3 linked regions of the Notamacropus eugenii genome follow. The protein of the gene in region 1 interacts with the protein of each later gene in a pairwise test. Links are inferred from orthologs where the notes say so. Each region holds a gene or a part of one and is shown on either strand. Other genes may lie near its edges. The genes, in order: MYBPC3; actin, alpha cardiac muscle 1; myosin-7.

What was found.
Region 2: the proteins of MYBPC3 (region 1) and actin, alpha cardiac muscle 1 interact in a two-hybrid assay, tested with the Homo sapiens proteins (2 studies listed by IntAct). The link is inferred for Notamacropus eugenii from reciprocal best matches to the Homo sapiens genes MYBPC3 and ACTC1.
Region 3: the proteins of MYBPC3 (region 1) and myosin-7 interact in a two-hybrid assay, tested with the Homo sapiens proteins (2 studies listed by IntAct). The link is inferred for Notamacropus eugenii from reciprocal best matches to the Homo sapiens genes MYBPC3 and MYH7.

What each region holds. Positions count from the first base shown.
Region 1 is NC_092877.1:3,633,980-3,643,810, reverse strand, and holds the start of MYBPC3 (myosin-binding protein C, cardiac-type), read right to left. Parts: upstream 4,645-9,831; 5' UTR 4,563-4,644; coding exon 4,538-4,562; intron 2,599-4,537; coding exon 2,332-2,598; intron 26-2,331; coding exon 1-25. UniProt on the Homo sapiens protein: Thick filament-associated protein located in the crossbridge region of vertebrate striated muscle a bands. In vitro it binds MHC, F-actin and native thin filaments, and modifies the activity of actin-activated myosin ATPase.
Region 2 is NC_092878.1:19,591,069-19,600,899, forward strand, and holds the start of actin, alpha cardiac muscle 1, read right to left. Parts: upstream 4,599-9,831; 5' UTR 4,406-4,598; intron 3,404-4,405; 5' UTR 3,382-3,403; coding exon 3,253-3,381; intron 1,014-3,252; coding exon 689-1,013; intron 1-688. UniProt on the Homo sapiens protein: Actins are highly conserved proteins that are involved in various types of cell motility and are ubiquitously expressed in all eukaryotic cells.
Region 3 is NC_092878.1:9,698,355-9,708,185, reverse strand, and holds the start of myosin-7, read right to left. Parts: upstream 5,825-9,831; 5' UTR 5,764-5,824; intron 4,820-5,763; exon of another isoform or gene 4,765-4,819; intron 4,295-4,764; exon of another isoform or gene 4,183-4,294; intron 3,713-4,182; exon of another isoform or gene 3,109-3,712; 5' UTR 3,056-3,108; intron 2,855-3,055; exon of another isoform or gene 2,660-2,854; intron 2,620-2,659; exon of another isoform or gene 2,607-2,619; 5' UTR 2,599-2,606; coding exon 2,398-2,598; intron 2,005-2,397; coding exon 1,861-2,004; intron 1,312-1,860; exon of another isoform or gene 1,252-1,311; intron 678-1,251; exon of another isoform or gene 201-677; coding exon 44-200; intron 1-43. UniProt on the Homo sapiens protein: Myosins are actin-based motor molecules with ATPase activity essential for muscle contraction. Forms regular bipolar thick filaments that, together with actin thin filaments, constitute the fundamental contractile unit of skeletal and cardiac muscle.

The sequences.
Region 1 (9,831 bases):
GGGGCTGGAACCAGGTCAGGCTTTTCTGGGTGGGATCAGAATAAGGAGATATTTAATGGATTCCACCCCACCCCCCCCATGTTCCCAGAAGTCACGGGCTACTTCTACGTGGATATTTCACGAGCCCATCGGACTCACGTAAACCCACCTGTCTTCCCTTCTCTACCCCCCCATCCCAGCACTTTCAAGTCAGCTTTGAATCTTTCCTGCCCTGCAAACCAAAGCCTGTCAAGGCTCCCTTTCATTTCCACAGCCACTGCCCTAGCTTAGGCTTTCATCACTTCTCATTTAGACTACACTGGCCTTGTCCCTGGTCTCCTTGGTCACCCCTCCTTCTAAATACCAGAGTGCTGGTGATAATAATAATATTTATATAACACTAAGGTGTGTAAAGCGTCGTACGTGTGTTACCTGATTCTCACAGAAACCTTGGGAGAGAAGTGCTTTTACTCTTCCCATTTTACACATAAAGAGACAGAAGCAGGGAGAAATCAGATGACTTTCCCCTTGTCGCACAGTAAGTAAGCACCTCAGAAAGGATTCAGACTCGGATTATTCATAGTCCAAGTCTGGCCCTTAGCCACCACCTGCCTAGATACCCTGGCATAGCAGCGAAGAGACTTGGCTTTGGAGCTCTGGGAACTGTCTCTGAAGCTACGAAATGTATGGTCCTGCTCAAGCGCAACCTTTTCTCTGAGATTTAATTTCTCCCCCTGTCAAATGGAGATTAGCTGATCCTTAAGAAAATTTCCAGTTCTAAATCTATGATCCAAACTGTGCCCAAGTGATCTTCCTAAATATAGGTTTAGGGGGGCAGGTAGGTGGCACAGTGAAGAGAAAGTCAGATCTGGAGTCAGAGATCTGAGTTCAAATCTGGCCTCAGACACTTACTAGCTGTATGACCCTGGGCAAGTCACTTAAGCCTCTCTGCCTCAGTTTCCTCATCTATAAAATGAGCTGGAAAAGGAAAAGGCAAACCACTCTAGTGTCTTTGCCAAGAAGACGCCAAATGGGGTTACAGAGAGTCAGAAATGACTGAAAAACAACTCAGCAATAACATGTACAAAAATAAATAAATGTTCCCCTTGCTCCTGCTGGCTTTTATCAGTCAGACGCAGAAAAGCTGACGATTCTGCAGGACTGTTATTAACCTGCTACTTTACTAAAGTTACCAGGGCTTCCAATTAATTTTCCACTGAACGTCCAGTGTTCTTTAAGCAATCCATCATATCCCCCGCGGACTGAGAGAATTTTGCCTCCTTCCCACCTTTACTGGATCCTGTAATTTTTTTTGTCTTCTTGCTGCAGTTAGCATTTTTAGAACCAGATCAAGTGATAGGAATGACAAGAGGCAGCCTTGCTCCGATTCTCAGTTTAGTGCTAAAGCTTCTGGAGTTTGTCTACCACTAATAATGCTGCCACTTGATTTTAGATACGGAGTACTTATCTTGTCACAAAATGGGCTATTTTTCCTCTGCCTTAAAAACAAAAAATGAGTGCTATTATTGTCAGAGGCACTTATTGAAATAATCATATATTTGCATTTTTGCAATTATTAAGAATTTTACTCCTCTGCTCAATAGCCTTCAGTGGCTCCTTATTCCCTGTAGGATAAAATACAAACTCTTTAGCTTGAAATTTTAAGTTCTCCACGATAGGCTTCCACCTGCCTTTCAAGCCTTATTTTACATTATTTTCTATAATCATACCTGTTCTGTGTTCCAACATCTCCTTTCTTATTACATAAATACGTACAAGTCTTCTTCTCTGACTGGAATGTTCCTTCAAGGCTCAGCTAAGGTATCTTTTCCTCCATGAAGTTTTTCCTGATCTCTCTACTTGTTAGTATCCTCACTGCCCTTAAATTACCTTACATTTCTTTATCTGGGCATATTACCTATCATTCCTTCCCAGTAGAATGTCATCTCTTTGAGGGCTGAGGCTCTTTTCTTTATATCCTCAATACCAAGCAACACCTTCTATACAGGAGGAATAAGTATAGTACCTGAACCTGTTGAATTCATTGGTATATGATACTTCAGAATGAGAAAACTCTCTCTGCCAATGCAAGTTGGTATTTTCTCTGTAACTTAGCATCATAGAGAGTGGCCCAGACACTGAGAGGTTAAATCTCTTTTCCAGGGGTAGTTTCCAGAGGCTGCCCCAGGCTGGATTCCAGGAAGCCCCTAGGTTCAGCTTGTCCTTTTGGCAAAGACTGAGCCATGGGACTCAGAAAGGGCAGGTGCCCAAGTGGAGGAAGGAGACCCACCCTTGCCCCTGAGGGTACCTGCACTCTGAGGCATGAGAGGGAACGATTGGAAGGCCACAGACCTGCTTCTTTGACCTTGAGTTCAAACTTGACCTTGGAAGAGCCTGCGATGGCTGCATACTGCCCCTGATCATCAGGCCCCACGTCCCGCACGGTCAGAGTGTGCCTGGTGCCCTCTGACATCAGCACGTACTTGTCACTGGCTGCAATGTCACTGCCAGCCCTCTGCCAGCGTAGCTTGAGGCCTGCCCGCTCGGTCTCGGCTTCAAATAAGGCAGAACTGCCCACGGCTGCCTCAGCTGTTTTGGGTTTCTTGCTAAATGCTGAAACTGAGGAGCAGTTGAGGTTCAACTTTAGGTTCAACTTCATTCAGCTTTAGGAAGCCCCCCAGTTGTCCCCCCAACTGATCCCTCAATACCCCCAACTCCTAGAGCAGTTCCAGCCTTGTCTCCCCTTCCCTGACTCGTTATCCGTACATTTAGCCAGATTCTAGGCAGGAATCGAGTTCTCTCCATTTCCTGACTCTTCACTTCTTGCTCAGAGTCGGGAGAGAAAGTGTTAGATTCAGATGGGAAGGGGGAGGTTGACTCGTGGGTGTAGCGGCAGAGGGCTTTCTGGTCTTTTCCAGACCTAGGATCCCATGATTCTCCTACACTGGGGTGATTTCCCCCAGTGCACCTTGGAGGGCTTCCTGCCCTGCCCCTGGTATAGCCGCGATATGTCCCAGCATTCTCCTTCCTCCAAGCCCAGCCCAGAACCCCTCTGACTGATGCCTCCCCTCAGGCACCCTGGCAATCATCTCCCTCCCCCCAGGAGTCCCATGGTGGCCAAGGCAGCTGAACAGTGGTGACTGTGAAGGTGAAATGAGGATCATCCTCTTATCTTAATGTGTTGTTGTTCCGTCCTTTCAGTAGCATCTAACTCTTCATGGCCCCATTTGGGGTTTTCTTGACAAAGATACCAGAGTGGTTTGGCATTTCTTTCTCCAGCTCATTTTACAGATGAGGAAACTGAGGCAAACAGGGTGAAGTGACCCGCCCAGGGTCATACAGCTAACGTCTGAGGCCAGAGTTGAACTCAGATCTTCCTGACTCAAGGTCCATGGCCCTATCCACTGGGCCACCTGGCTGCCCACTACCCTAATACAACCCTATTCTTCATGCCAGTATCAGTCTCTTTGTTTCTTGGGCTCTGGGCTGGGGGAAGGGACAAGGAGAGAGAGGGAGGAGGAAATGAGGAGAATTCTGACCCTGCCTGGTATTTGGCTAAATTTATCTCTCTGGGCCTCAGCCTGATAACAAGCAGCTGTGATAAGGCTTTGGGGATGGGGAGGGGAAGCGGCCAAAGACAGGTGCCAGGAGATGGATACCTGGTTCAGTTGTCCTGTTGTTGGGTGACCTTGGAGGGGAGAAAATTCGAGGAGTGGGGAGTGAGGAAACTGACAGGAAAATGAGCCTGGGATTTGTAGCCCCCCCCAGAAGGTAAGAGGTGAGGGACCAAGGGAACTCCAAAGTTAGGGCTCTCTGTTGTACCTCCAAGAAGGGGTTCTCAGACCCCATCCCTATTCCAAGAACCTCTATGGCATTGGGGAAGAGACCAGAATGGGCAGAGCAAAAAAAAAAAAAAGAGCCCTCCCTCTCTTGGGGGCTGCCTTCTCCTGGAAAGTTATATTCTGTTATAAATGGAAAGGACAATGAAAGCCTTCAGGTTCAACTTCTCATTATACAGATAAGAAAACTGAAGTCCACAGAGATGAAGTGATTTGCCCAAGGTCACACTGGTAGTAGCTGAGAGAGCCTGGATTCATAGGATTCTAGGATGCTGGTCACAGCTTCTGGGGTCCTTAGAGACCCTCTAATTTGGCTGGCCCCTCATTTAACAGATGAGGAAATTGTGGCTTAGAGAAAGAAATGGACTTGCCCAGGGTCACACAGGCTGTAAGTTTCAAAGCCAGTATGTGAACCTTGGTCCTTGTGACTCCAAATCCATCCCAAGCTGGACAACATCCACCACCCTACGTTCTGTCATGGTGGCCAGACCCCTGGCCCTTTCTTTTGCCTCAAACCCTCCCAGCTCACTCCTTAGGCCAGCCAGCAGGGAGAATTGGTCTCAGGCCCCTTACCCTTCTCTAGGGTAGCAGGGCCTCTGATCCCCACCGGGATTCCAGCACTGTTCTCCCTGACCAGCCCCAATTTGGCCCTCATCCCTAAATCCACTGCTTTCTCCTGCCCCATCCCCACTCATCCTCTCATCCCCAGGTATCTTTACCTGCTTTCTTTGCCAGCTCTGGCATCCTGAGGAAGTCTTCTGGCACCTGGGTACCCACCACCAACACTGACCAAAGGAGCAGGGAGCAGAGAGACGGAGTGAGATCACCAGTGTCTCTGGTCCTATAAATCACTGCCCGCCCCCTACCTTCCTGTCCTCCCCCAGCTTTATCACCAGGGGCTCCTTATCAGCTATGGGCTCTTGTAAGAACTAAATATAGACAAATTCCAGGGAGCAGAGAGAGCCCCCTCCTATAGTGGGGAGATAGAAACAGGGCCAGTGAAGGAATGCGGCCAAAGCCCAGCTAAAGGCCAAATGACCTCTCTCTCCTAAGGGAGAGCCTCCTCTCTGAGGTCAGTGACTTGGACCCCCCCTACCACCCTGCAGCTCATTGCTTCTCCCTCTTCCCCAGCACCCACCTAATGGGAACTAGACCTAGCTGAGCCCCCAAAGAGATTCTGTTGAATTGGCTGGTGTCATTTACCCTCCCCCCACACATGCCCTCTATCTCGTCCTTCTCTCTGTCCCATTCAGGGCACTCCCAGGCCCCTAGAGATTCCCACAGCCCTCAACATTAAGGTCAGGGTCATACTGTAGAGCACAAGGACAAGGCAGGGGTGGTACAATCCTGTGGTCACAAGCCCAGGATGTGAAGGCAGTCAGATATGGTGGGAAGGTGCCCTGGCCCTTCGGCCTGGAAACCAGGGTTCATCAGAATGTGACACAGTGGGGAAACACCAGCCTCTGGAGTCAAAGGACTTGGATTGAAATCCTGCCTGTGATGAGTGTAGCCACTCTAGGCCTCAGTTTCCTTATTTGTAAAATGAGGGGATTGGACAAGATGGCCCTTGAGGTTTCATCCAGCTCTAGGCTCCATAGATGCCTGCTTTACCAGTACCTGTATGACTGGAGGGAAGTTGAGTCATCTCTGAAATCCTGTTCCCTTAATTATAAAATGAGGTTAATAAACATTTTACAACCTACCTCATGGTGTTGTTGTGAGGAAAGTGCTTTGCAAAACTTAAAAGCATGACAGAAATGGGAGTTATTTTTTAATTGAATTATTTTATTTGTTTTCAGTGTTCAACAATCACTTCCATATATCTTAGATTTTTTCTACTTCCTCCCCCTCCTTCTCCTGTCCCTCTCTGCTCCCTCCCTGAGACGACGTACAATCTTATATAGATTCTACACATACTTTCCTATTAAATGCATGTTGCATAGAAGAATTAAAATGAATTAAAGAAACTATAACACAAAACAAAACAAAATGTAATACAAAAGAAAACTGTCTGTTTCTATCTGGGATGCAATTCCATAGTTCTTTCTCTGGATGTGGAAGGCATTTTGCCTCAAGAGCCCATTGGAAATTTTTTAAAGTCCATGCATTTTAATGAAGGACTAAGTCTACCAGAAAAATTCCCCGTACACTGTGGTTGTTGCTGTGTACAAAGTTCTCCTGGTTCTGAACCTTTCACTCAGCATCAGATCATACAAGTCCTTCCAGGCCTCTCTGAAATCTTCCTGTTCATCATTTCTTACAGCACAATAGTATTCCATTACATTCCTATACCACAACTTATTCAGCTATTCTCCAATGGATGGGCATTCCCTTGGTTTCCAGTTTTTGGCCACCACAAAGAGAGCTGCTATAAATATTTTTGTATGTGTGGGACCCTTTCCCATTTCTATGATCTCTTTAGGAAAGAGTCAAAGGGTATGCACATTTTTGTAGCCCTTTGGGCATAGTTCCAAATTGCTCTCCAGAATGGTTGGATCAGCTCACAGCTCCACCAACAATGAATGAGTGTTCCAAATCTCCCACATCTTCTCCAACATTTATCATCTTCCTGTTTTGTCATGTTAACCAGTCTGGTAGGTGTGATGTGATGCCTCGGAGTTGTTTTGATTTGTATCTCTCTAATCAATAGTGATTTAGAGTTTTTCATATGATTATAGATAATTTTAATTTCTTCCTCTGAAAATTCCCTGTTCATATCCTTTGACCATTTTTCAGTTGGGGAATGACATATTCTTGTGCATTTGACTTAGTTCTCAATATATTTTAGAAATGAGGCCTTTATCATAGACACTAGTTGCAAAAATTCTTTCCCAGTTTTCTGCTTCCCTCCTAATCTTGGTTGCTTTGGGTTTATTTGTGCAAAAACTTTTTAATTTAATGTAATCAACATTATCCATTTTGTACTTCATAATGTTCTCTATCTCTTGTTGGGTCGTAAATTTCTCCCTTCTCCATAAATCTGACACATACACTATTCCTTGCTCCTCTAATTTGTTTATAATATCAATCTTTATACCTAGACCATGTATCTATTTGGACTTTATCCTTGTATACGGTATCAAGCATTGGTCTATGCCCAGTTTCCACCACACTGTTGTCCAGTTTTCCCAGCAATTTTTGTCAGTCAGTGAGTTCTTATCCCAGAACCCGGGGTCCTTGGGTTTATCAAACCCAAGTAGATTGCTATATTCTTTAACTACTGTGTCTTGAGTACCTAACCTATTCCACTGGCCTATCCCTCTGTTTCTTGGCCAGTACCAAGTGGTTTTGGTTATTGCTGCTTTATAATACAATTTGAGATCTGGTAGGGCTCGACCACCTTCCCTAGCATTTAATTTCATTAGTTCCCTTGATATTCTAGATCTTTTGTTCTTCCAGTTGAATTTTGATATTATTTTTTCTAGCTCTAGAAAATAATTATCTGGTAATTTCATTGGTATGGCATTGAATAACTAAATTAATTTAGATAGAATTATCATTTTTATTATATTAGCTTGGCCTACCCAGAAGCAACTGATGTTTTTCCACTTACTTAGATCTGACTTTATTTGTGAGAAAAGTGTTTTGTAATTGTGTTCATATAGTCCCTGGGTTTGTTTTGGCAGGTAGACTCCCAGATATTTTATAGTGTCTACCCTAGCTTTAAATGGGATTTCTCTTTCTATCTCTTGCTGTTGGGCTTTGTTAGTAATATATAGAAATGCAGATGATTTATTTGGGTTTATTTTGTAACCTGCAATGTTGCCAAAGTTGTTTATTATTTCAAGTAGCTTTTTTATTTGATTCTCTAGGATTCTCTAAATATAGCATCACATCATCTGCAAAGAGTGATAACTTAGTTTCTTCTTTGCCTATTCTAATTCCTTCAATTTCTTTTTCTTCTCTTATTGCTACAGATAACATTTCTAACACCACATTGAATAACAATGGTGATAATGGACATCCTTGTTTCACCCCTGATCTTACTGGAAATGCATTTATCTTGTCCCTGTTGCATATAATGCTTGCTGATGGTTTTTGGTAGATACTGCTTATTATTTTATGGAGAGTTCCATTTATTCCTATGCTTTCCAATGTTTTCAGTAGGAATGGGGGCTGTAGTTTGTCAAAATCTTTTTCTGCATCTAGGGAGATAATCATGTGATTTCTGTCAGTTTTGTTGTTGATATGATCAATAATGCTGATAGTTTTTCTAATATTGAACCAGCCCTGCATTCCTAGTATGAATCCTTCCTGATCATAATGTATTATTCTCATGATAAGTTGGTATATTCTTCTGCTAAAATTTTATTTAAAATTTTTGCATCTATATTCATTAGAGAAATTGGTCTACAGTTTTCTTTCTCTGTTTTGTCTCTTCCTGGTTTGGGTATCAAAACCATATTTGTATCATAGAAAGAATTTGGGAAGACTCCTTCGGCAGTTTTCCCAAATTGTCTGTATAGTATTGGAATTAAGTGTTCTTTAAATGTTTGATAGAAATCACTTGTAAATCCATCTGGCCCTGGAGATTTTTTCCTAGGGAGTTCATTGATGGTTTGTTCGATTTCCTTTTCTGAGATGGGGTTATTTAAGTAGAAGTGGGAGTTATTAATAATATTACATTGTTATTGATGCCCCCAGGTAGAATGCAAGCAAATATCCTGAGGGTGGGGTCTGGTTCATCCAATCCAATATAATCTTCAGCATTTATTAAGGTTCCAGTGTCAGGCATTGGGCTAAACTGAATACAGTGGCTAAAAAGAAAGATGGTCCTTTGCCCACAGGGATCTTACCATCTAAAAAGGAAGATGACACACAAGAAGCAGAAAAGGGGAGGGACAGAGGGCAGGGGGAGAGCAAGGAGGGGGAACCTGGCACAGGGCATCTTGTTTCATGGAGAGGAAACCAGGCAGAGCAGAGGATGCAAAGTGGAGTGGTGCCCTGAGAGTCCACTTTCCTATCTTTATAAAGGAAGGCATTGGGAGGAGCTGGGTATTCCACCCTCCAGCCCTCCCATCAGAGGGGGAGACAGTGGAGGGGAGGGACATCAGTCAAGGCTTGAGTGAGCATCAGGGTGATGGGTGTAGAAGTGATGAGCCCCCTCCCACCTTTCTTGTCTTCTTATGCCTTCCTCCCTGCTTCCTGTTCTCCAAACCAGTGACAATGGCAGCATCAGACAACATTCCATCTTCTGACACCAGGCCTCTGCACTGTCCATCCCCTGCCTCTGGACTTCTCTCCCTCCTCACCTGGACCTCCTGGCTTCCTTAAAGACCCAGCCTACCTCCTGCAGGAGGTCTTTCTCAGGATCCCCCCTTGTCAGCACCTTCTCTCTCAGATTATCTTCCATCCACTCAGTATCTGTCTTGGATGAACAGAGCTGTTTTCATGTTGACAAATATGAATTCCTTGAAAGTAGGGGTTCAGGATCTTTAGAGGGGAGGGGGAGGGAATAGGTCAATGGGGGATATAGAAGGGAGTGTAGATTTATGGAAATGGGAGTTATTGGAGGCGGGCAGGTTTAGTAATAAGAGGGCAAGGTAGCTGGCAGAAACAAAGTAAAGGAGTCAGGAGATATAAAAGAGATATGCACAAACCCAGAAACAAAGATCAAGAGTAGAATTTGTTAGGAAAAGTATATGTCTATATATGTATGTATGTATGTATATGTGTGTATGTGTATGTATATATCTCTATATAAATATATCTGCACTTAATTGTAGCCTTCTGGAGGGGGGGGAGAGGACAAATGAAAACTTACAAGGGAGCAAAGAAAAGATGGAGAGTTTTTAACACGTATAGTATTTATTACATAGGCTTTCTTGAAATGGAAACTTATTGGTATATATTTTGAATCCTCACTTACATTCTGCTATGCACAAGACATGCTTTTCTTCTTTCAAATTTCTTTTTCTCTTTCTTTTCTTTATTGTGTACTTAAGTTTTAGTATTTAAGTCTAAAATTTTAAAAAATGAAAACAAAGAAAGAAAGTAGGGACAACTTTTGGTG
Region 2 (9,831 bases), on another chromosome or scaffold:
ATACTTATCCATGACCACATCTTACCAACCACACCCGCCTTAAAGATTATAGTATCCTGTTTTTTGTATAATATGTGTCTTGTTTCACTACTGCAGAAAGGTTATGAACACTTTAGGTAGGAAAGACAAATAAAAACTACTTAGCAGCATTTTACTCTTTCTACTTAACCGTGAATCTTGTGAAGTAAAATATAAAAATGAATCTATTGATGCACATTTTGAAAAGAATGAAAATTTACTTTTGGAGTTTGCGTGGTACCTTTCACATTTGTAAGTAAATGTAAAATCTCTCTATTTCAGTTTGCAACATGTTGCAGGTTCTTGCCTATGATACGATGTGCCTTTGAAATAATAGGAGATTTGTTAAAGTTCTTATCATACTTAGGAGGACAACTGTCCTATAAACTCCTGGTGTTATTACTGTCTCATTCTCCACACATTTTCCAGGTATACTCTCATTAGTCCTATTAATGGTCCAGTAAGATAGGCTAGTCAATCAATCAACAAGTATTTAAGTACCTACTATGGGATGGATACTGGAAAAAATGGGATTATTTCCTTATTATATATGGAAAATAATAGAAAACTAAGTAAATTACCTTGTGCTGCAAGTTTTTCCAAATTTTCATAAAAGCTCTATTCACTAACCTAGATTGTCTCCTCAGTTAAGACAGAATATCTTTCATACCTGTGGTACGGCCAGATGCATACAAGGACAGCACTGCCTGGATTGCCACATACATGGCAGGGACATTGAAGGTCTCAAACATAATCTGAGTCATCTTCTCTCGGTTGGCTTTGGGATTCAGAGGGGCCTCAGTAAGCAGAGTGGGGTGCTCCTCTGGGGCTACACGAAGTTCATTGTAGAAGGTATGGTGCCAGATCTTTTCCATGTCATCCCAGTTGGTGATAATGCCATGCTCAATGGGGTACTTTAGGGTCAGGATACCTCTCTTGCTTTGAGCCTCATCACCTACATAGGAATCTTTCTGACCCATACCCACCATGACACCCTGTAGGGAGGAGAAAAGAGATGGGAAAACTGAAAAGTAAAGCTCCTTCTCTACCAACATTGATTAGTAGGCATCACTAACCAAGGCAAAAAGAGATGAAGTAGTTTGTGGTGGAAAGAATTCTAGATGAATTCAGAAGACTGGATTTACATCTTAGCTCTTAGTTTTACTGGCCTTGTAACTAGAAAAGACACAACTTCTTCAAATCTCAGCTTGATCAACTGTAAGATGGAGATAATACATGTACTATCTACTTGAGACTTTTTTTAGGAAAACATTTCATAAAGTGTCACATAAATGCAAGTCATTGTTAATAATAATACTATTTTGTGTATGTGTATATATGTATATGTATATATATATGTGTGTATATATATGTATATATGTTATATATGCTAAATAAGTGCAGAACTTATCTTCCCCACTATAGGAATGGATGAAGGAAACAAACTATAGAAAATCATTTCACTGAAGAAAACATAATAGGGACAGAACTACAGATATCACATAGTAATAGCTAGCATTTATGCAGCACTTTAAGGTTTGCAAAGTACTTTATGAATGTTATCTCATCCTCACAAAAGCCCTAGGAGATAGGTGCTACTATTATCCCCATTTTGCAGAAGAGAAAACTGGAGTTAAGTGACTCCAGGGTCACATGATTAATAAATGTCCCAGGCAGGATTTGAACTTATCCCCATTCCACACCTAGAGCTCTTGTCCACTGCTCCACCTAGATGCTACTAGGATATCTCTCATTTTGTAAATGAGGAAACTGTAATGAAGAGAGTTGAAGTGACTTGTTCAAGTTCCCATAGACAAAAATAGCAGAATTGTCATTCAAACTAAGGGAAATTATGTAAAAAGACTACTTTAATTCAAATGAATATATATACATATATGTAAATATATACATATATTTATACATGTGGGGGGGTATAAAACTTCCTTTATGAATGACACCTAAGGGGAAAAACTTTAGAATTCCCAGAAGGAATAAAAAATTACAAAGAGCTGGGCTATTATCACCCTAACAGTGAAATTTAATCTCCACAGAACCAATATAGCATTCATGTGTTATAAGAAGTTCTAACTAGACCAGCTTGGCAGCCTTGCCTGGTTGGCATGGTGCAGATACTCAGAGGGTGACATTTCTTGTAGTAAACAAGGTGGTATATTACTAGCACCATTTCAGTCACTTATTCAACGATGCCTGGATTTTTAAGAAGCCATAGTTAGAGATACGAGATATAACTGAGAGTTAGTACTCTCTTGAAGGAAGAAGGAAAATGGGGGTGCAGGCTGAAAGGAGTTTTATTTTTGTAGAATTCTGGTAAAAGACAGAAAAAGGAAGAGAAAGCAATGTATATGGGAAATGGAAAAGAAGCTACACTTTTGCCTGATAATTCCAGAGGGCATTCCAGTTGGGAGACAGTAGGTAATGGGTTAATACTTAGGAAATGGACTCCTTCCTGGTATATATCTATAGGGAGAGCCAGAGAAAGAACTTTAAGTTCACTGGGAGGATTTCAGTGAATCTGTTTTTGCTGGTGTTGATTTTGGTTTAAGTTTTTGCTTCCTTGGCCTTGGGACCAGTTAAGCCATCAAGGTTAGTTGGGAGGGTCAAAAGCCAGATTTGAAAGAAAGGAAGGAGATGTAGTGGAAAGAGCTCAGGATGTGGAGTCATGAACTCCCAGCCTCTGGCATTAGCTGTGTGGCCATAGGAAGTCTCTGAAACTCAGTTTGCTCAGCTGTAGTAAGTGTCTATCCCCAAGGGCTATTTTGAGGCTGAAATGAAATAGTTCACATAAAGTGCTTTTCAAACCTTCAAGTACTATACAAGATCATAGTTCTAGAGCTGAGCTGGATCTCTGAGGTTATCTAATCCAATCCTCTCATTTTGCTGATGAGGAAACTGAGACTGAGAGGTTAAAGTAACTTGGCCAGGGTCACATAGGTAATAAGAGGAAGAACTAGGATTTGAACCCAAAACCTCTGATTAAAAAACTCATACAAATGTCGAGCTATTTTGTTATCGTTCTTCTCCTTTTTGTTCTCGAAGACCAATGGCATCATGAGGGTGATGTCATTATTATTAAAGATACCGTGAGATGAGGGTGAGGAGGATCTGAGTAAGAGAAGAGGTATGGAGGTCAGAAGAGATGGGGGGAGGGGTTGCTGGTGGAGTAGAAGCTCCTCCAGGCTGCAGATTTGGATTAGAGATGAGTGCAAAGGTTACCTGGTGGCGGGGGCGGCCCACGATGGATGGGAAAACAGCACGGGGCGCATCATCGCCAGCAAAACCAGCTTTGACCAGCCCAGAGCCATTGTCGCAAACCAGAGCGGTGGTCTCCTCGTCGTCACACATCTTGCTGAGGTCTCAAGGAGTTCTGTGGGTGGAGGAGAGAGAGGGGAGGGTCACTCTCCAGAAAGTGAGATGGAGCTGGTGGGGGGTGTAGACATCAACCAAGGAGTTTCCCTGAAGGGGGGGGGGGGCTCTAGGGATAAAATAGGTGGGAGGGGGGCTGCATTTGGGCTCCCCAAAAGGAACCAAAAAAGCGATTGAATTGCAGGGGTGGGGCGTCTGAGAGAAAGAGGAGAGGAAAGCAAAGCAAGAGAGGATGAAAGACAAAGAACTGGATGAAAAAGCATTGGCTGGTGCTCGAGGAGAGGGTCACCCTTCCTTTCTGTGGGGTAACAAAAAGCTGTCAGGGACCAATGACAACTGTACTGAGCATTCCTCCGACTTCACTCCCTGGCGCCTGCCCTCAGCATCCCCAGTATCCCCATCCCCTGCTCCTGGACCAGATGCTGCATGGCCCTGGCTTAGGACAAAGCTCCTCTAACTCAGAGCCCACTCTTAGGCTGGGTCTTAGAGTCAGCCCATCCAGATTCCAGCCTGGGCTCTAGAAAGCTTGCTTTTCTCTATACGGGACGCAGGACGGTAGGCACCCCCAGCCGTCTATGCTCCCCAGTCCCGGTCTAGAATGGGAAACCGAGCAGCTTGCCAGACCCCTGCGCCCACTCAAGCTGAGAGAAGGCTGGGGAGTGGGGCGTGGGAGGGGTCGTTCCCAAAAGAACGAGAAAATAAAAGAAAACGAGAAATTCTCTGTCCATCCCCTATCCTATCTCCAACATCGCCCAAGTGGAAAGACCAAATAGGAAAGTCGGTACAAAGTCAAATACGTTTTTTTTTTTTCGGGAAGGGTCGCAGCAGGGAGAGAGACAGACAGAGAGAGAAGAAAACAGCAGAGAAAAGTAACTAAAAGGCGCCAGGAAGTCAAGCGTGCGTCCCCACTGCCCTGCTCACCCTCCCTCCCCAGCCCTCTGTCCCGAGCCTCTGGTGCTACTTGGATGGATGCGACGCTGCGCCAGGTTCTGCGCTGACTCACCAGTTCAGCACCCGCGGCTCCAGCTCCGGGGTAGGCAGACGCTTGGTGTCTGGGGCACGGCAGCCGCGCCGCTTTATACTGCTTTGATGGACGGTGTCAGTTGGGGCCGAGTGGGGCCAGGGGGTGGGGGGACCCAGGCTTGCCACCTTGCCCTTATTTGGTCGCCTTCACGCCATTAGGGAGCGCTGAGTCCATTCATGGAGCCAAAAGAAGGGGAGAGGCAGAACAGGGGGCCCCCAGACCATGTAAGGTAGGGGAGGGGGACAGTCAAGGGGATAGCCAAATAGGGAGTCCAGGGAGGGGTAGGAGAATGGGAGGAGGGGGAGGGGGAGGGAAGGTCACACATACCCTTTTCCTGGGGGATCACTGGAACGAGGGAGAAGGGTTTCTCATTGAATTTGGTTTGACTCTACAGAATCATAGATTTAAAGATGGAACAAACTTTAGAGGTCCTCTAGTTCAACACTTCATTTTACAAATGAGGAAACTGAGGTCCGCAGAGGTAAAATAACAAGGTTACAGTGGTGGTACCAGAATATTCAGGAAAGATCTCTTGCCCCAAACTTGGCACACTTGCCACCATGCCACTGTAAATTTTCAACCAGTCATAACTATGTAGCAGGGTTAAGGCCAATAAGTTATATACAGATGATTAAAGAAAGTCTGGCATGAGGTCCTCTTCTAGGAAAAACCTGGAAGCTGATCCATGTATGAAGAAAGTGGCCCCATCCTTCTGGTGTTCCTAAGCAAGAAATGGGGAAAGAGATAAAAGGTACGGTTTTCATGAACATTATAGTCTGGCACAATAAGGCCATTGAAAATCTGTATCTTCATGGCAAAGAGGCAGGTAGCTGGGTAGGAAGAACTACTGGGTTTCTGGAGATGAATAACCCTAGTGTCGCTATATACACTGCTGAGTGAAGATAGAAAAATAGAGCTGACTGCTTTGTGGTGAACAAAACCTCTTATTAATCAAATTTATCAGCTGTTATTGTACCCTATCACTAGAGGAGTGAGAGAGGAAGAAAGAGAATGAGTGATTGCAAGGTGGAGAGAATTTTCAAGTTTTGCTCAAGAAAGAAAAGCATTTATATTCCAACCCACAATTAATTAACTAGTTGAGCCCTAAGCCTATATCATACGTGAACTAGCTAGACTGTATTTGTGTGATTCCAGGGTCCTGGGAAGAGCTCGTCCCCCTATCTCTCTCTCCCCCCACCTCTGCCCCTGCAAATATTTCTCCCACCCATTCTCCGATGTTTGCTGGACATCTTTTAATGGTATAAAAAGCTTTCATTTCAGTTAGAGATGTCTTAAAATGTAAGTTCCCTTTGAGAAATGCAACACACTAACTTAAATTCACATGCAAGAAGACTGCCTTAGATCCTTTCTTGCTAAGAAGTTTCAGTGAGGATTTCAAAGAGAGGTTTTCGGTAAAGAAGGGTGTGAAAAGTTAAGGAAAGATCAACTTCATTCATAATTTTACCCAGCACTGATCCCCTTGGATCTATAAATCTTTAAAGGAGTTATATTTTGTTGTTTTGTTTATATGCAGTTTTCTTCTAGTCCATACCAGTTAAAAATAGAAGACCAGGCAGGCATCCCTCAGTGGAGTGGGCTTGGGAATGCTGAGGAGGCATTCAGAGTAGAGATATGGGTCCTAACTGAAAATATCTAAGGCCTGCCCCTTTTCTCCTCAACCATGTTTGGGTTGGTCTATGTAAGAAACAGATTAAGCCAACTTTGGTGTTGAGCTTGGCTTCTTTTCCTGGAAAAGACACCAGATGCTCATCTATTTGCATTCATATTACATGCAATGAGTATGTTATACAGGGTGTCCCAGAAGTCTTCAGTATGAATTCTGGGACACTGTGTATTTAAGGAAGGAGGAGTAGATGTAAAAGATTAGTTCTGCTTAACCATGTATACATGTAGACACAAGATGAAGTGAGGTTATAATCATGGTCATTCTTTCAGGCTCTATCAATTGGTCTTCCTTTTTTTAGAATTAAGACCATCTTCCCATTGCTTTATGGTATAGTGAAGCTACAGTTTGTTCACTTAGGACAGTAATAGAGCTTATTCCTCACTCCCATGATTTCCAATTGCAAAGTGCCCCTTAAGAAATCCCACACTGAGGTAAATAACATGGGTAGAAATGATGGCACCGTCTCCCCTTCTTGGGAGGCTCACTGGAAGCCTGTTCAGCAGCTTTTCAATCTTGTTACATAGAATCAACTAACCTAAAAATCTCCACCCAAGGAAGGACTAAAGGAGAGAGAGAGGAAGAAGGAAAAAGAATGATTGCAGGGGAGAGAATTTTCAAGTCTTGCTCGAAAAAGAGAGCAGTTATATTCCAACCTACAATTAACTAACTAGTTGAACCCTAAGCCTATACCATATGTGAACTAGACAGACTGTATTTATGTGATTCCAGGGTCCTGGGAAGAACCCATCTCCTTAACTCCCCTCTCCCACGCCCCCCAAATATCTATCAATTCCTCTTCCTTTTGTAGAATAGGCCCCAGGAGGTGACGTAGAAGACCACTGGAAGATACCAGATAGATTATAGGATCACATTTAGGGCTAAATGTTCTTATTTACTTGTTTGGGTCCTCAGTGCTTAGCACAGCACCTGGCATATTAGTAAGTGCTTTATATAGTTCAGCTGCCTCATTTAACAGATAAGGAAACCAAGGCCCCTGAACGGTTTAAAGTGACTTCACACAATTAGTCACACAATTAGTAACTGGCAAAACTAATATTTCAACCCAGGTCCTTTGACTCCAAATCCATTGCTCTAGGAGTGTCGGAGACCTTTCAGATGACCCCAAACTGGTCCAAATCACCTGGAAAAGAACAGAACTTTGACCCTTTGGCCTCCCCATACCTCTGTGAATAAGAGAGTAGAATGTCCTTTATCTGCACATGTACAGAAATTTGCTGAATGCTGCCTGTATCATCCTAGGTTAGATCCAATGTTCTTCTGTGACTACAAAAGCCAAAGGCCCTACATTCAGAATGTCCAGAAGACTGTAGTGCTGAAGTCAGGCCCTTTGCAGTGATAATGTGGTGAACATGCCAGGGGGCAGAGCTAAGTAGCAAAAAGAGGCAATGCCTCTTCGGATCCCTGTTTTTATTCTCTGATTAGAAGAAGTCCACATCAACCATCTATAGGGAACAGAAAGAATCATAATAATATTTATAGAGTCCATTCAGATTTGCTTAAAATAAAATATTAAATAAATATTGAATATAAATATTAAAGAAAATATTAATAGAAAATAAAATAGACTTAGATATTTTATCCTATTTGATCCTCACAATAACTCTATGAAGTAGGTGCCATTATGATCTTCATTTGACAGATGAGGAAACTGAGGCTGAAAAGTTCATTGACCTGCCCAGTTAGTAAGTGAAATAGAATTTGAAATCAGGTCTTTCTGACTCCAAGTCTAGTAGTCTCTACTACAGCACCAATAGAATGGACTGATAGATTAACAGTCACTTATCTCAGCTGTTCCTGCTTTCAGAGGTGCCACAGTATTTACATAGAAGCTGGTAACTGATAGCCCTGGTTGAATTCCTCTCCAATCAGACTCTCCCAGTCACATCCTGCATTCCCCTGACTGAGGGAGAAAGACTCCTGGGTCCAGATTGCCAGAGGGAGGAGGGGGGAGACAGCCCTCCCGAACAGGGACAGCTGATGTCCTTCACACACGTGTTTCTTTTTATTTCCTTCAGTTGGCATGTCCCCACTCACCAGTGCCCTCTGGCTGGAGCTGGTTTTTCACTTGAATTGAAAGAAGAAAGTGTGTGTAGGAATGGGAGTGGGGGTGGGGGAAAAGCACAGAGGGGAGGTCACATCATGAAACTGAGAATTCAATACCAAGGGACTGGCATTCTCTGAATATATTTTCCCACATTTTACGTGCAGCCCCCAAAGAGGCTGAGCACTAGGGAGAGCATTCCAAACGCAAATGGTTGTCTTCCCAGATAGCACATTCCTGTGGTCACTGTCATTTGACATGTTGGGGCCAACTGCAATCAGCTATTTACTAAGACTCAGAAAGAGGGGCTTAGAGGGGTGGGACAAAGAGAGGGAGAGAAGAGAGAGAGAGAGAGAGAGAGAGAGAGAGAGAGAGAGAGAGAGAGAGAGAGAGAGAGAGAGAGAGAGAGAGAGAGAGAGTCAAGATTCCAAAGTAGGTTGAGTCCAATTCCAGTTACTTCCTGGCTATTACCCTCTACCCTTTCAGGAGTCAGAGTCAACACACAGGGATTTCTAGGTAGTGTCCTAATTCCTTAAAAGGAGCTTGTCCTTCAGGAATGTTTCAAGAGCTAAAAAGCTCACAGGTTTGCTCCTTAATTTAGTAAGCTTCCTCTCTAGCTCAGACTTAACTGACTACCATGCTGGCAGTCATTTTATGTATGGAATTTCCATTTTTTGAGGGTTACCTGCAGCAACCCTACCTTTCTTGGACAGCCCAAGCTTGGTGTTAGCCTGCCCAGGTTTGTGTGTAACACCTTATTTACAATGAACAGAAGCATTAGAATGAACCAAAGCAATCAGTTGTCAATTCAGTGGGTGCTACCTCATGAGTTGGGAGGTTCTGGTGTTTTCAATGCCTTTGCTGACACAGGTAACCAATCAATTTTTAGGTACCAACTATGTGCCAGCCACAGTGCTAAATGATGGGAATAAAAAGAAAGGTTAGAAACAGTCAAGAAACTCACAAGCTAATGGAAGAGACAAAATGCAAACAGCTGGGTACCAACAGAGACACACACACACATGCATATATATACATATGTATGTGCATATACATACATACATATATACACACACATACACATGTACATCCATACACATATGTATGTGCATATATACATATATGTATATATATGATAAATTGAAGATAATGTTAAAAGGAAGGAACTGTCATTGAGAGAGACCAGGGAAGACTGCAAACGTATAGCAGCCAGAAGATCACCGTACTCAGTACTGTGATACTGCCTCAATACATTTCCCCCCACGTCTGTAATGTACTCTCTTCTTCCTTTTGTCTCTTAGGATACCTAGTCTCCTTCAAGACTCAGATCAAACATTGCCTTTTATGTGAAGCCCTTCATCTTTCCCAGTTCCTCGTGCCCTCTTCTGCCAAATCTCCTTGTATCTATTTTGCATATATATATATATATATATATATATATATATATATATATATATATATATAGAGAGAGAGAGAGAGAGAGAGAGAGAGAGAGAGAGAGAGGATGCTTTACCTACATATATGCACAAGTAACACCTGCCAATAGAGGGTAAGCTCCTTTAGGGCAGAGACTGTTACATTATTGCTTATTTTTCCCCACTGCCTTGAAGAGCACATAGGAGATGTTTAATAATACTATCTTTCATACCACCATTC
Region 3 (9,831 bases), on another chromosome or scaffold:
CTCCTTCGGGCCATGCTCAGGAAATCATGGGGTGTTTTCTCACCTGTCAGCATGTACTGATAGGCGTTATCAGAAATGGAGAAGATGTGGGGTGGAGCTTCACTCCTCTTTTTTCCCCTGTAGGCAGCGACCACCTCTGCATCGTACACTGGCAGCCACTTGTAAGGATTGACGGTGACGCAGAAGAGCCCAGAGTAGGTCTGCAGCCAAGAGAGAGAGACAGAGAGAAAGGTCAGAGATTGTGGGGTCAGGGAGGGGAAAAGAAGACTCAGATTCAGAAATGGGAAACGCGCACACAGAGTCTCTTTTTTGTTTCTATCTCTTTATGTCTCTGTGCCTTTTTCTGTATCTCTGTACTTCTCTGTCCCTGTCCCTCTGTGTTTGTTTCCCTGTCTGTCTCTGTTTCTGTGTGTCTCTCTCAGCTCTGTCTTCTCTCTTTGGGTCTCTTTTTCCATGTCTCTGTCTCTCTGTCTCCCTGTTTCTCAGTCTTCTTTCTGTCTGTCTGTGACTGTATCTCTTTATCTGTCCTTGTCCTTATGTGTCTCCTCTATCTCTCTCTTCAAACAAGAGTGCCACACGTATATAAAAGGATTCAAAGACAGGAAAAGGAGCAAAATGCTGAGTTCACTGAAAAAGGGAAAATGATGCCTGCCAAGAGGATAGAATTCAACCAAAAGGTAATGATATGTAATCTAAACAAGTGATAGCATCTGGACATAGAGCACAGAAACATCTGGGTCTCAAAGGGTAAAAAGAGTATAGATCAGAATGAAAATTTCTGAATTCAGCATGTTCAGCAAGCAGTTATGGGGTGTTGACAATGTGCAAGTCACTACATTAGATGCTGAGGGAGACAGATAAAAGGATGAATGGGTTTTTGCCTTCAAAGAATTCACAACCCAGTAGGGGAAAAAGATATATGCAAATAACTATAATACACAATTGGACATAATAAGTTCATGAGAGATTTACAAAGTGTTAAAAGATTTTATTTTTAGGAAAGAGAACTTCTAGCTAGGAGAACAGGGCAAGTTTTATGGAGGAGATGACATTTGAACTGAGATTTGAAGAGTGGGTAGGATTTCAACAGATGGAGGTGGGATGGAGGCATATAGGGAATGGTATAAACAAAGGCATGGAAACTGGAAATGATAATTAATAATGACAACTAACATTTCTCTAGTGATTTAAGGCTTGAAAATATTTCTATATGTTATCTTATTTGATTTTGGTAATGATCTTTTGAAATAGAATCTATTTTATAGGTGGAAAATCCAGGCTGCAAAGGACTTGCCCATGGTCACACAGCTAGTAAGTGTTTGAGATAGAATTTGAACTCCAATCACCTTGATCCCAAGTTCAACACTTTTTACTCCTAGAAAGTATGAGATGTGTTTGTAAATACATGAATAACTTAGTTTGGCTGGAGTATGGGATACAGCTGGAAAAATTAGACTTGTGGCCAGATTGTATAAAGCCTTAAATGCCAGGCCAAGAAGCTTGAGTTGGATTTATCGGGCAATGTGGAGCTACTGAAGCTTTTGGAATGCAGGAGAGATATGGTCAGAGTTGTCCTTTAGGAGGATTAATTTGACAGTGATGTGCTGAAAGGGAGTGATATCAGAGCAGGGAGGCTAATAAAGAGACTATTATAACAGTTCAGGCAAGAGACAATCAGATCCTGAATTAGGGTGGTGGTGACAGTGGGATAGAAGGAAGGGACAGGTGGGAGAGTCTGCAGATAGAATTAATAATGATAGTGCCAAGGATGATGCCACTTTCCATTGTGGAGAGGGGTTGGTATGCAGAAAATAACTCTAGAGGGAACCATGAGGGCTAGTTCTGGAATGGGGCACTCACATAGATCATCCAGGAGGCATATCGGTCCTTGAGGTTGTACAGCACTGCGGGCTCATGCAGGAAGGTCAGCATAGCCATATCCTCAATCTTGTCAAACTTGGGTGGGTTCTGCTGCATGACCTGGTCTTCTTTCACTGTCACTGTCTACAAGAGATCCCACCCCAGTTTTGCCATCATGAGATTACACTTTCCTGATTCATCCTTTCCATACTCTTGGAAAAATATTAGGAGTTAAAGTTAATTGGGGAAAGGATGGATAAGGATTGCTGAGAGGACTGGAGATGGTTGGAAGAGGGGGTCAGATCTTTTGAAGGGAGGTGGAGGACAAGGTAGTTGGAGGGAGGGAAAACCAAGATCTCCAAGGGAGAAGGGATGTTTGAGGTTAGGGATTATTCCAGTGAAAGTGGGGTAGTATAGATCCCTGAGACAAGGGAATAATGGGGGACCTTTGGGTTCATGGGGTGTGACCTTGGTTATATTCAACACAGCCTACCCATGTTTGGACCTCTGACCATCCCTACCCACTCTGTGACCCACCTTGCCATGCTCTGTCTCAGCGGTGATTTTGCCCCCTTCCCGAGACAGAATCTTGGCTTTGACAAACTCTTCCTTGTCATCAGGCACAAAGACATCCTTCTTGAGGTCAAAGGGCCTGGTTTGTGCTTCTAGCCGCTCCTTCTCCGACTTGCGAAGGAACGGGGCGGCTGCCCCAAATGCGGACATCTCAGCATCACCCATGGCTATGCCTGAGTGGGGAAAAAACAGAGTGATCTCCCTATCTCCTCCTTCTCCTTTTCAGTCTCTGCAACCAGATTAAACCCCATGGAACAACTCCTATTTCCTCAATCTACCTTTCCTGTAGAGGGGCAACCAAGCAACTCTAGCAGCAAAGGAAAATGAAGTAGAGGATATTTGTTCAGACTGGAGACACCCCCATTAGGGAGATCTGCTGGTGCTTTGGGTCTGAATTGTGTGGATTGGAGGGTTTCTCTAGGTATGTCCCTTTCCCCTTCCCTCATTTTATCCTTCATTGGTGCACTCTCTATGGTTTCCAAGTCACTGTCTGGAGATCCCCTGTAGAAGCAGGGAGAAGTAAAAACTCCCTAACTTCCCAAGCTTGGGGCTGCTGAACTCAACCTCTCCCTCTCTTTCTCTCATATCTTATCATTTCAATAGCTCTCTTTCAACCATTTACCTTGGCTTCTCCTCAGAGGAGTCTACAGGAGAGGAGGGAAGAACACACGCCTGCTGGAAAGCAGAAAGGAAATGTCAGGGGATGGGAACAAGAAGACCCTCACCCCACAACCTGGCAATCCCATCATCTTTGCCTTTCTCTGGCCCTAGCAGTCACTTTCTTTCAGTCTGGTTATGCTCAGGAGCCTGTGTGATCCCTTCTTTTCTTCTCTTCCCCCAGACATCATACCCTTGAGATCAAAGCTTTAGTCACAAAAGTAGTAAATTGGTTTCCTGAAGGTGGTTATGCCTGGAGTCTTAATCTCCTTTACTTCCTCGGACACCAATTTGGGAGATAATCTCCCTCTTGCCCAAAGGGCTTTTCCATGCATTTGTTCACAGTTTATAGAAAGTGGGACTAGTAATGAATAACTCTAATTTTCATAAACTACTGGAATTATCAGTCTCACTCAGCTAGAAAAACACCTAGGACATGTGAAAGTGATTGATCTTTGGATGCATCCATCTGGTCAGGGGATACACCACACACCATGTATCCCCAGCCGGATACACCCATCATACCTACCCATCACACACACACCTCCTTACAGGGGCTGTCTCTCTCTCTCTCTCTCTCTCTCTCTCTCTCTCTCTCTCTCTCTCTCTCTCTCTCTCTCTCTCTCTCTCTCTCTCTTCCTCTCTCTCTCTCTCACACACACACGCACGCACACACACACGCACGCACACATACACACATACCCATTTCAAACACATACACACACTTTCTAATAAATACCTGTACCTCCAAAATGTACAGCAAAGGCAGTGTGGTATAGAGATAGCTAGGTGCTCAGTCGATAGTGCTCAGAACTTGAGGTCAGGAAGACCTGAGTCCAACTCCTACCTTAGACACTTACTAGCTATGGGACCCTGGACAAATTAACCTCTCTGTACCTCAGTTTCCTCATTTATAAAATGGGAAAATAGTAGCACCTACTTTACAGGATTATTATGAAGATCAAAGAAGTTAACATACATAAAACACTTTGCAAACTTTACAGTATTATAGAAATAATAGCTATTATTATATGTGGCCAGCCCTGGAGCAAGCAAGACCTGAATTCAAGTGCTACCTTTGATTCATTCTAGCTGTGTGAACCTGAGCGGATCCTCAACCTCTTAGTGCTCTAGGGAAGGCTCTAGCTGCTCTTGCTGATCTCCATCAGTGAAAGGAGTTCCTCCCACACCAAGGAAATCACAGGTCTGGACTCTATCCCTTCCAAACATGCTCACAAAGGACAGTGCTGGATTTGTAGCAAGGAAAAGAGTTCAAATACCAATCAGTTGTGTCATCTTGGGCAAGTCACTTAGTTACCTTGTCTCTCAGTTCCCTCATCTGTTAAAAGGGAGCAAAAATATTTGTGATGACTAATTCCCGAGGATGCTGTGGGGAAAGTTCTTTACCTATCATCGTCATCATCATCATGACAGCTCCTGTATTTATATTGCTTTAAGATTTACAAAGCACTTCACCCACAACACTGGGAGCCAGCGAATACATGAATTATTATCCTTTTTTAAAAAAAAAATACAGAAAATGAGGCACAGAGAAATTAAATGACTTATTCAGGGTTGTATAGCTCATAAATGTTACGCAAGTCATAAGGTCATGGGATTTAGAGCTGGAAAGGACCTTAAAGATCATCTCATCTAAGCTTCTCCTTTTTTCAGATAAGGAAACTGAGGCCTAAAGAAGCTTGGTGACTTTACCAACAGCACGTAAGCAGTAAGTAGCAGAAATGAGGGTCAAACCCAAATATTCTGACTCCAAATCTAGGGTCTTTCCTTTGATCCAGGCTTTCTGACTCCAAGACCAGTATTCCATTTACGTACATGTTCATATATATGTATGTATATATACACACACATACACACAAATACGTCTATATGTGAATTCCACTTGCACGCGTATGCGGATGTCATCAGGTGTACATATGTGCTCAGGGATGTAGATCTATGTCTGAATCTATGTATATATCTCAATATAGATCTACATTCCTGAGTGCATGTCATCCATTCATACATGCATGTGGAATTCATTCTTAGGTTTACACATAATACTCAGGCTCACAGATGTACATTATACATACCCGGACACGTTTTTATGCGTCCCATACTTTCAGGTGCTCAACAAGTGGTATAAATTATATAAAATCTCATTCTCCACGCTATCCTGACTTCCACTAAATGGGCGTGGGTGGGTGGATTACGCCTATAGAGACACGTGTTCATAAATACCCTTCTCTAATATGATTTATCATGACATGGACCCACAAATTTATAGAAATGCAATTTCCTGTGCCATGTTCACTCACATTACATATCTGATACGTACCATGCAGGTTACCAGGAGCATAACTTTCTCAGAAACCTCTTTCCACAAGCTCACAATCCCCTCAAAAACACACACACATACACATACACACACATGCACACACACAGCCCTCTTCATCACAACTAAGGCCCCATATAACCAATATGTAATAAATATATCCCCCTATACATTTGCCTTCACCTTTCAGGTACACCTGCACAGGTGCACAGACCCATAGAGATAACTAGACCTATCCCTCCCTAAGCCAATCATTTCCCTGCGAGCACCGTCTGCCCCCTCCCAATCCATGCTGTCCCAGGCACAGCAGAGGGAGGTCATAGGCTCACCACTCCTACCTGAGATTAGCAAGTCAGAGAGAGGGAGAGAGAGAGAGAGACAAGGAGAGAAGAATGTGGAAGCAGCACTGGTCTCAGGGCCCTTATATATGGAACTGAAGGGTGCTCCCACCCCCACCCGCACCCCGTCCCCAGCCGGATTTAGAAAGAGTTGTTGTCACCAGAAGCATTTCCCCCAGTCCCCTTCCCCCCCCCCCTTTCTAAGCAACTCCCTCCTCTCCCCCCCATGGAGGCATAGGAAACAATTGGAAGTGGTCGTCATTGTTATGGCACGGAGATCTCGCAGGGTCTGAGTTCCAGAGGGCGGGGGTGCTCCAAATGGAGCAAAAAATATCTCCCTGGACAAGCCTCACATTCCACAGCTGGCAGGAGTATGGAGCCCACCAAAAGGGAGAGAGAAAAAGCAGACCCTCCCAAACCCTCCCCTGGGGGCTCCAGGCCCGGGACCTCCTGCCATTCCTAGCCCATCGAGCCCCCAGCTCCGTCGCTACCCCCCTTGGTTCCCACTGCAGCCTTCCTGATCCACATTCCTGGGCCCTTCTTCCAACTTCATGGCTTGGGCATGGGGCACTGAGTGTCAGAAGCCAGTCGAGACTGCTGGTAGAGCTCTGAAGTGGTCCAGCCTTTCTGGACAAAAATTTCCAAGTATATTAGAAAGATGTTCAAGTGCACATACTCTGTGACCCACCCATACCACTGTTAGGCATTTCCCAGGGGGAGGGAAAGCCCATGTATACATGAAAATTTATAGTAATTCTTTTTGTGGAGTTGGAAGCAAAATGGGTGCCCACTGGTTGGCAAATAGCTGAACAAAGTGTGGCATATGAATGTAACAGAATAGTGGTATACAATAAAGGAAAGAGGAATACGCATTTATATAGCACCTACTAGTTTAAACACATTATCTCACTTGAATCTGGGGAGAAGGAAATTGAGCATGGAATGAATGAGAAGGAAATCAGGCACCTACTAAGTGCTAAGTACTGTGCTAACTGCTTTTCAAATATCATCTCATCTGGCCCTCCTGTGAGGTGGGTGCTATTATTACCCTCATTTTCCAGTTGAATAAACTAAGGCACACAGAAGCTAAATGACTTGGCCAGGATCACATGTCTGAAGCTGAATTTGAACTCAGGTATTCCTGACTTCAGGCACACCTCTCCATCCACTGTACCAAGCTTGTTGGCCCTATGGGTTTTTTCTCTTTTTGTTTTTTTATACAGAAAAAAACCCACATTGAAAGTGAAATCGGAGGAAATTTGGGAAGACTTATACTGACCGAGAGTGAAAAACGCAGAACCAGAGAAGAATTTATGCGGTGACTTCAACGTAAAAAGAAACAACATCAAAAGACATCTTTTTTTTACACAATCCCTTTTCTTGCCCTTTTGTATGTGATATATTTCTTTTTGTTAATTTTGTGAACTTTTGTTAATTTTGTTAATTTAAATTAATAATTTTGTTAATTAACAAATTTGTTAATTTGTTAATAAGTTCACAACATTTTTAAAAATTAGATGAAATAAATGGGGAAAAAATAAAATGTAAGAAATTTGAATGCAGTGACTAGTCCTGACTTTAGAGTGTTAATTATACTTCCAGCCACCTGACAATGATGGGGATTGAGATGCAGAATAAGGTACAGCTTGCCCGACATGGCCAGCACATAGATTTACTTTGTTTAACTACGCTTTTTGTTAGGAGGGTGAACTCTGTTGGGGAAGAGAAAGGGAAGAGAATGAGCATTTAGGAAGTGCCCACTATGTGTGTTTTACAGATAATGGGAAGTGATGATGTAAAACAATTTTTAGAAATTTAAATGATTGAGGAGTCGAGGCAGGAGCAGAAGAGGGCTGGAGGGGGAAAAGAAGGGGAAAGAGATGGCAAAGGATAAAGTCTAGAAGGTGACATCTAGAAAGTGTGAAGTTCTAGAAAGGATGTTACATCGGAAATATAGACAAGGGAACTGTCTCTGCCCCTGACTTCTTTAAACTATTGAGTTACTTTATAGAGGCTTGTAGAATTTCAGAGCTGCAAAGGACTTTAGCTAGCAGATCTTTCCATAGTCCTTTTATGGCTCACAAAATGCTTTACCCGCTTCACTCTGATTTTCACAAGACCTGTGCTTGTAGTGCTACCTTCATTTTACAGATGAAGGAACCAAGGTCTAGGAAGGATAAATGATTCAATGAAGTTTACATCTGAGCTCATTAGTGGTGGCAATGGGACTAGAATCCAGGTTTCTGGGCTCCTCGTCTGGATACCTGTCCCCACTACAACTAACCTCTCCAAATCTCAGTTTCTCCTTTTGTTATCCAAGAAGCCTCCAGTTCCCCAACTATGACACCTTAGGGTTGTACAGGTGAGTTTTAGCAGATCTCTCCATCAAAGTTTCTGCTGCTCATCCTGCTTCTTAACAAGGATATTGACTCTTAAGTCAAAAAGAAGGCTGGTGATGCAAAGACCAATGCTCCCCTCTCCAAAGGATAGCAGCCAGTTTGTGTTTGTGGATGAGGGTTAGGAAGGCAGCCAGCCCATCTGTACAGAGCTGGGCAGAAACTTAACACTTTAGTTCTAGCCTTGACTATGTTGTTAATTAGCTGTATGATCTTGGGCAAATGACAGTCACATTGGGCTTTAGTTTCATCACATGAAGTCCAACTGGATTGGACTTCATGGTTCCATGTCGCCATGATTCTACATCATGATCTTCCATAGAGTTGGGATTGTAAGGGCAAGGTGACTCTGTGTCAAGAGGACTTCTGAGGTCCCTTTCAGCACTCTATCTATGGTCCAATATTTCGGATGGCTAATTTGAAAGCCTTCTTCCCTGAACACATCTTTCCATCTGGTGTGGATTGTCATTTGAATAACTTGATATCCCTCTGGATATCAGAGAGAACTAATCTAGAGAAGAGGTAGCATTCAGTTTCCTCATCATCTTCCATCATTCCATAAAATGGAAACCATATTACTTGCACTATTAGCTTCACAGTATTGTTGGGTGAATCTAGTTTGCTCTGCCAGTGACATATACACTAGGAAAGATTCCAGTAGTCCTGAACTGAGCCCTGCAAAGACTGTTTGCAGAAAAGTCAAATACATTAGAGAAGATACCCAGGGATTCCAAAGGCAGGACTGAACGCACAGTTTTCCTTCTGTCCCTTTCAGTCTCCAAATACAGGTGACCTCCCTCCTTGATGTCTCCAAGCCTGAGGTACAGGTCACTGAGATGTCCAAGAGACGATGCTCAGATGATAGTATATTCATTTCATTTTATTTTTTAGATTTAAGGTTTATTTCCTTATAATCACAAGTGATAGTTTAGAAGGTTGGAGACAAAATAGAAAATCCTATAAAGAGAGCTATATAAACCTATGAACCTATATGCTAGAAACCCACCTGAAACACCACCACTCTGCACCCATCAGGGGCCGATCTTGTCTTCAAGTATGCTGGTCACTGGAGCAAGAGTCAAGAACCTGAAACTGACTAATGTGTTCATTTTAAACCCAATGTCCTAATTTTGGGCATCATTATTTACAGTTTATTCAACAGAGCTCCATCAAACTTTATTTGTTCAACCTAGATTTGTAGTTTTAATTCTTTGTTTTGGAGCTACAAGTTTGCTGGGGCAGGCAGGAAAAGAAAAGGGCTTCTCACTTGTGCTTCCTGATTAATCTCAGTGCCCTGGGGACTGATCACATTGGGGATAGCAGGGACTTTCTAGGAGTCATTAAATCTAGATTTCACCTACACCATCCCAGACAGCTGGAAGTCTCTGCTGTCCTTAAAGACCCCCACAAGACCCCTCACACACCTGCTCTGATGTTTCACACCCCTGCTTGTCAGGGAAATCTTCCCTTTTTTCAGTAGCTGTCCAGGCTGAATAATTTTACAAATCTTTTGGAGAACCTAAACTCTGGGGATAAACCTAGAGCTACTGGCTACAAGCCATACCAGGGTATTTAGGAACCACTTTCCAGGCAAGAATAGGCTTGCAGATATGGGGTAAAGAGAAAGAGGGCTTGCGTGGGCAGGGGGGAAGGGGAAGAGTCGTGGATAAGA